Linked DNA regions of Callithrix jacchus. The protein of the gene in region 2 purifies or fractionates together with the protein of the main gene of each other region. This does not show direct contact. Links are inferred from orthologs where the notes say so. Each region holds a gene or a part of one and is shown on either strand. Other genes may lie near its edges.

What was found.
Region 1: the proteins of FBXO38 (region 2) and CUL1 purify together in Homo sapiens (affinity purification with mass spectrometry; 4 studies listed by BioGRID, with this or other methods). This does not show direct contact. The link is inferred for Callithrix jacchus from reciprocal best matches to the Homo sapiens genes FBXO38 and CUL1.

Annotation. Positions count from the first base shown.
Region 1 is NC_133512.1:98,927,727-98,931,382, reverse strand, and holds part of CUL1 (cullin-1), read left to right. Parts: intron 1-522; coding exon 523-640; intron 641-1,695; coding exon 1,696-1,772; intron 1,773-2,263; coding exon 2,264-2,395; intron 2,396-3,656. UniProt on the Homo sapiens protein: Core component of multiple cullin-RING-based SCF (SKP1-CUL1-F-box protein) E3 ubiquitin-protein ligase complexes, which mediate the ubiquitination of proteins involved in cell cycle progression, signal transduction and transcription.
Region 2 is NC_133503.1:47,061,527-47,065,608, reverse strand, and holds the start of FBXO38 (F-box only protein 38), read right to left. Parts: upstream 2,894-4,082; 5' UTR 2,777-2,893; intron 1-2,776. UniProt on the Homo sapiens protein: Substrate recognition component of a SCF (SKP1-CUL1-F-box protein) E3 ubiquitin-protein ligase complex which mediates the ubiquitination and subsequent proteasomal degradation of PDCD1/PD-1, thereby regulating T-cells-mediated immunity.

The DNA.
Region 1 (3,656 bases), on a different chromosome or scaffold from region 2:
CTCCTGGGGCAGGCCCTCTTCCTGCTTTGCAGGCAGCCACCCACCTTCTTGCTGTGCCTTCACGTGTAGAGAGTGCAGAGCTCTTGTGCATCTCTTACAGCCACACCCATCCCATCGTGAGGGCCCACCCTCAAGACCTCATCACCTCCAAATAGCATCGCATTGGAGGTTTGGGCTTCAACATAGGGATTTTGGGGGGACACAGTTCAGTTTCTGGTAAGAGATAGTGACAAATTATTTCATCGTTGTATTCTACCATAGTGTCAGAATACCTTGGTCTTACATGCCCAGAAATCGCGTGTGTATGAACTTCACTGTACAACATAGATCTGTGGGGTTTTTTGAGAGTGTGTTAATTTTAATCCATGCATATTTATACTGTAACATAGAACAAAATGTGGCTAGCTTTGCTAGTAGTTCCGTATAGTTAAGTATATGTGGTGTACTGTGATTTCTCTAAGATTCCCTTGTGTACATTTGTATTTTTGTACAAATTAAGACAGTTACCTGGGTTCTTTTCAGCAAGCTTGTGGTTTCGAGTATACCTCTAAACTTCAGCGGATGTTCCAAGACATTGGCGTGAGCAAAGATCTGAACGAGCAATTCAAAAAGCACCTGACAAATTCCGAACCCCTGGACTGTGAGTACCTGCGTGTCTGTGCCTTGCTCTCACAGGCAGAGTTCTTTGTAGCAAACGAAGAAATGACAAAGTATTAAGTAAAGACGGGAGGGGCTTTGTCAGAAATTCAAGAACTGAGAAACAGGAGATTCCTCCCAAAGGCGCTTCCCACCTCCCCCAACTCCTGTGTGACAGTAGGAGATGGCGATTCCTGAAGCACTGTCAGCTCTCCTGCGGCAAGGCCACCACCTGTTGGGATCTAGGGGAGGACCCACAAGCTGGGTTTCCTGTTGAAAACCTTAGCTTGGATCTATTCTAGCACTCACTTGGCCTGCGTAGGTAACAGTCAAGCTGAAGACTTGTGGCTTCAGATTGGGATTAGGGATCAGTAGAGGCAGGGTGTCGGGGTTCATTTCTCCAGGAGTGGCAGCTGGGCTGGTTTTTAAGGTCTTGCGATAGCAGTAGGATAGCAGATTTCTGCTTACATCATCTTTTGATAATCTTTGTCTTTTTAAATGAAAAATGGAGAACTTTATTTTTTCCAAACCAGAAATACAATTCCATTGTTAAACTGGACAGTTCTGTCAGTTGGCTTTTTAACTATCTGCAAAGATGAAATTACTGTTATAATTTATAGATCACGTCTGTCTTTTCACAGTAATAAGTGATATACGCACTGTAATGAAGTTCGCGGTCTTCTGCTTGTGAGTTTCTGTGAGCTTGGGGCTGTGATGATGCTGGGCCTGGCAGGCACAGGCATGGCTCGAGTGGACTGAGTGATTCAGGACAGAAAAGCAAAGGAGGGGAAGCAGGGCAGGCATGTGACAGCAGAATTCCAAGATGGAAGCAAAATGAAGACTGTCACTCTTTGGAATAAAAGAATATCTGGCTTTTGCACCTTTTGCTAATTTTAATTGAATAAAATATTCAATTCTTAATTTTATATTCAAGGAGGATTTTTATTTAATGTGCTTTTTAATAAAGAGCAACACATTTGAAATGATTGATTTTTTTCAATTTATAAACCAATTAATGGATTCCAGAATGTTCACTCTCCCCTCTCTTCCACTCCCCAGTGGATTTCAGCATTCAAGTCCTGAGCTCCGGGTCCTGGCCCTTCCAGCAGTCTTGTACATTCGCCTTGCCATCAGAGGTAAGGACGGGTTTGTCTGCCGTCCCATTAGTGCTCAGTGGAGGGTGGGGCAGGGCGGCCTTCGCTGTCTCGCTGTGGAAGGGGACAGGCCTGCAGCTGTCCTTCCTGCCCGCTGGTTGTGTCACAGTGAACCGCAGGGGCAGCACTCAGGGAAGAGCCCTGTGTGGTGGGGCAGGTCTGGGTGTCTAAAGGTGGGCTGTCTGTTCCAACCCTACAGACCTGTCTTTATCTTGTAAAGTAGAACGTAATTCGTTCTGTAATGAACACCTTGATGAACCTGCTGGTCTTGAAGCACAAACCTTTTTTAAGATTGTACCTTCCAGTGCTTAAAGTGCTTTACAAGAGAGGCAGACACCACCTGGGTTTGTATTTTACTTTCATGTAAGCGTTGACTTTGCACTGTAAGCTTGGAACAGTGCATTTCACTTAGAAAGGCTGCCTGTAGGACGTCGTGAGGGCTGTATTCCATATAACGCTGTCCTTTCCTCTAGCTGGAACGCAGTTACCAGCGATTCACAGCTTTCTACGCCAGCCGCCACAGTGGCCGAAAACTGACATGGTTATATCAGTTGTCTAAAGGAGAACTGGTAACTAACTGCTTCAAAAACAGATACACTTTGCAGGTAAGATCACCTTTATATCTCAAAATTGTTTTCCATTCTAAGTGATCATAAGGCAGATTATAGAAATCATTATCAGCCAACCCAGCAGCAGAATCTAGAGTGCAGCTTCTGGAGGAATAGTGGCGAGTTTCAAGCATGGAGTTGTAAGAGTCAGATGAGCCAAATTCCAGTTCTTTCTGCCTGGGGAGCAAGTTATTTAATGATTGTGAGCCTCAGTTTTCTCCTCCACTAATGGGGGTGTTAATGCTTATACTTGGGAGTTGACATGACAATTAAATGATGTATTTAGGAAGTGTTTGGCACGGCTCCTTCCTGACACATCAGGTGTTGGGTAGTGGCTTAAAAAGCTGGAGTCGCGTGCATTGCACTATAACAGCTTTGACAGAGCAGTCTCACATTAATAACACTCAGTGCTTACAGCAATATTGAGTACAAACTAATTGAAAACTATGAAACCAAGGATATGTCCATTTTGTAGATGAGAAGACTGAGGCTTGGGTTAATTTCAGTGAACTTCTCTGAATCCTAGCTTGTATGTTTCTGAGCCAGAATTTCAGTTAAGGTCTTTTCTCTTAAAGCCTAGGCTTGGCTGGTGTGGTGGCTCATACTTGTAATCCTAACACTTTGGGAGGCTGAGGCCAGAGGATTGCTTGAGGCTAGGCATTTGAGATGAGCCTGGGCAGCATAGCAAGACGCTATCTCTAGATATTTTTTAAAGTAAAAAGAAAAAAAAAAAAGTCCAGGTTCTTTGTGCTTCCACTTTTGTGCAGAGTGGGCTTTGCAAGTAATGGCATATTTTAATCTCTGGTTTCACCGGTCAACTTCTAAGAACAATCGCAGGTCTATGTTTAAATATTAAGAAACTTCACAGTGGGTTCTACAGACTCAAGCTGCTCATTAATTTAAACTTTTGGTAACTCTACTCTGATTTAAAATTGTTAAAATGCATAGTATTGTTATGCTGGCTCCAGAGGTCTTTATCAACTTGAATGTTTCTTAACTATACAATTGAAATTTTGTTTTATATATCCCAAATATACAAAGAAGAATCTGTGTGATCTACTGTAGTACCTGGAATTTCAGTGCCTGGTTTTTGACATGGCGGAGGCTTTAGCCTAGGGTGTGTCTGCCATGTTAAGGCAGCCAAGAGCTAGCCCACTAGAAAACATTAGCAACACACTCGTTGCCTTGTATCTCTGTTCACGGCCCTGGAAGCACCACTGTCTGTGGGCCTCCCCGAAACAGGCATGTGATGTTTTTT
Region 2 (4,082 bases):
AAAGGATGCAATTTATGGTCCCACTTTGGCACTGGGTATACTTTATAAAGTCCTCTGGGGATTAGGATACTGGAATTATAAGAAACTACCAGGTTTATATTTTCCTAAATCTTCCTCTTTTATTTTGCGTTTCTCAATATCACCAGAATTAGAGGACCTTGAATATTAGAATTATTTTTCTATGAATGGGAGGAGGCTTGGAAAGTTTACAATTGTTATATAATGAGGAGATTAGGAATGAGCTACACAGTCTCCTACTCCCGTAGTTCAGATTGTGGTGTATCAATTTCTCTAGTATGTCAGGCTACAGGACTTCACTGGCTCTCATCACAGCAATGTTTCCCAAATTTCAGTAACTTTGTTTATGATTCCTTTCAAATTCATGTGTCATTTTTCTTTACAAATATTGTGCTTTTAATTGGCTCACTTTTTAAATTTGCCTACTGATCTTAGATTTGTCCTAAATGTGAATGTCCATGATATCCTCGGTTTGAAGTTATAAACATCGTTTTTTCTAACAGATTAAAGAACAGCTGCAATTATTGAAGTGAAAGAGATTCATTGGCATATTAACTTAAGTTATTATTAATACTATCAGATGGCATTCAAATCACTCTGGAGAAACACTGTATGTTAGCTCCTCTTTTAATGATTTAGTCTACATGATATAGACTTGGAAAAGCTTTACCAAAGACTAGATGCTTTGCAGAGCTTTTAAGAGATACAAATAACTTTGAAAATTGAATATGTATATGGAAAGAAGAATATTTAATTAGAAGGAATTACATGCACCAAGACACAAAACTGGAATAGCATGAACTCCAAAATAGTTTAAACATTAAAGAAGTTATCCTTTTAGGTAGAAAGAGTCTGGGTTAAGCGGGATGGGCATGGTAAAACATGCAAAAAACTTACCCTGAAAATACTGAGAGTCACTGTTTTAAATAAGGAGAAGTCTCAATTAGATTTGCACTTTAGAAAGTCATTCTCAGGGTTGTAGAAATTAGAGCAGGCATTAGCAAACTTTTCTTGTTAAGAGCCAGGTAGTAAATATTTTATGATTTTTAGGTCATTTGGCCTTTGTTGCAACAACCCAACTCTTCCAGCTTGAAAACGGCCATAGATAATGTACTTAAAAAGTGTGCCTGTGTTCCAAGAAAACTGTATTGTCAAAAACAGGTGGCTATAGTTTGCCAACTCCTGAATCAGACTAAATGCAAGGAGACCCCTCGATGGTATCTAGATGCATTAGATCCATATCACAACAATATAGGCAGGTAACGAGGAGGACTTAACCTAGGCAAAAGTATTGAAGTTAGAAAGAAGAAAGAAAATTCGTTAAAAAACAAAAATTAACAGATTGAATTGTCAGTGGTATCTGGGGAAGGCAGGAGCAGGAAGAGTCCGAGAGATGAGTCCTGATTTTCTGAGTACCTATTTTGACTGAGGTATTTAAATAGAACTGTATGAAGTTGCCATTATGTAGACTGGAAATGATCAGATAGTGGCAATTTTATATGTTCAGCCTAATAGAAATTCTGTAAGGCTAAGATTAGAAAGATTATTCTTATGCAGGAAGTGGCAAAATTACCTTAAAGGGACTATTAGCAAAAATATCTGAAATAAAAATATTTAGAATAGAAGATTAAATAAAACAATTCAGTGTTGAAATGTGAATAGCTAACTAGCCCATTAAGTAAGCACAGATAAATTAGTAACCATGAAAGTCATGAAAAAATAAGTGGCTTCTTTATATACACTGTTTATCCTGCCACGTCTTCTGTTTCCCAAACACTGTTTCCTTCTTCTCCTTAACGTCCTACCTGGAAATTCAACTTTATCCTCTTCCTAGGTTTAATGTTGACCTTAGGCAGTGGGTGTTTAAACTCAAGCGTCATCCTCTGGGGCTCCGTGGTATCGTCCATGCTGAGCTGTTCAAACATCTCTTAGTCTTATTTTAGAGAGAGGTTTCATTCTTCATAATCATCCCAGTTATTTATTGACAGAAATCTTAGATAATCTGCTATTGTTTTCAGATTATTGCACCTTGAATGTACCCCTTTTCTAAAATCAGCCAGCATACAAGGAAGCCTCTTTTGCTTGGGACCTCTGTGTCAAAATCAATTTACCCAAACTATTAACACTGTATTTAACCTTCATATTTTGTGTTTTACTTGAGAGCCTTGACTTCTTTCAGCTACTGCAGCTGAGCTTTCTCCTTGCCTCCTCATTCTACATGTACCATTCAGCTAGCAGATTCAGTCTTACATGGGCTTACCTTATTGGTGCCATTTTGTTGGTGTTAATTAGAAACAGCGGAGTCCTCTCTTGGAATTCGCTAACATCTGGTGGTGCTCTAATAGTAAGCCATGTAAAAAGCTGACACTGCTTTGCATTTCAGTGTACAGGCTAACATAACAAAATACCAGCGTGGGAGATTATGATGGGAAATAATTAGGAAAAAGAGGGAGCAGAGCCAAAATTGGTTATCAATTCAGAAGGCCAAACTATCAGTCAGATATTGAGTACAACTTTCATAGATCATTCCTTAAAATATCTCAGTTCTGAGCTATCTATGGCAGAATTCTTGGAATATTAAAAAAAAAAGGATTAAACCACTGATAGTTACTCTATTTAAGTTGGTGAATTTTTCATCTCTGAGAAAAGTCTCAAAGTTTCAAAGATTACAACCTCTAGAAAGCAGTTGTTGGCTTGTTACTTCCCCTAGACTATCAAATGTGTATTCTTTCCCCAAGATTCTTTAACAAATACTTACATGAAAAATAGCCAGTAGCCAAGATAACCACAAAGAATGTTTTCATCTTTTTTTTCCATAAGGAACAGTGATTCATCCACCTGAGTTTTCTTCATCCAGAGTTTTCTAGCAAAACCCTAAAGGCTGAGTTCTCTTGATGAATCTAAGGCTATGGTTCTATTGTGAGAACCTCAGACCCCATTATGAAGTCACCTGGCAAGTAATCTATTTACATGTGGCACTTAAGGCAAAGTCACCAGTTGTCTTAGTCTGCTCTGTGTTGCTATAATTGAATACCTGAGGTTGAATTTATAAATTTATAAATAAATAGATTTATTTAGCTGACAGTTCTGAAGGCTGGCAAGTTCAAGGGGCATATGCTGCCATCTACACAGCTTCTGCTGAGAGCCTCAGTCTGTGTTCACTCCTGGTGGAAAATGGAAGGAGAGTGAACTTGTGCAAAGAGGTCACATGTTGAGGGAGAGAGCAAGAAAGAGAAGCTGAGAAAGTCAAACTTTTAAGTAACTAGCTTTAGGGAAGTAATCCATCCCCAGGAGATCTAGAACTCATCCACCCCTGAGGGAGGGCATTCGTCTACTTATAAGGTATCCACTCTAATGACCCAAACATCTTCCATTAGGCTTACCTCCCAAAACCACCACAAAGGGGGTCAGTTTAAACATGAATTTTGGTGGGGACAAATCACATCAACACCAAAGTATCAGGTCATCAAAGACCAAGGTTTCCAGGGGGAAATATTTCATCATTAGAAGTCTATAGAACTGTGGTATGACAGCATGATTTAACATTGTTTTGTTTGATGGTTTGATTATTATTCAGTTCCATGGAAGTACATTCTGCTTTTTATTTTGCAAGAAACAAATGTGAAAAAGATTAACTTAGTATGAGTAATTCTGGGGAAGGTTTTCAAAATTTACATGTTTGCCTTCTAATTCTGCTCCAGCAATGTCAAGATTCTTATTTGGTAGATACAGAGTGTGACTCAGAATTTATATATATATATATATATATATATATATAAACACACACACACACACACACAGAGTACAGTGCAGTGTTTCCTCAGTATCTGTAGGCGATTGGTTATAGTACCCTGTAAATAACCAAAATCTGTGGATGCTTAAGTCCTTTATATAAAGCGGCATAGTATTTGCATATGACCTTCACACATCTTCCTGTATATTTTAAATCATCTCTAGATTATAAGATAGGTTTGAACTTCATGGATCCACTTTTATGCAGGGTTTTTTTTTTTTCAATAAATACAATCAGCCCTTTATTTCTACAGACTCCACATCTGCAACCA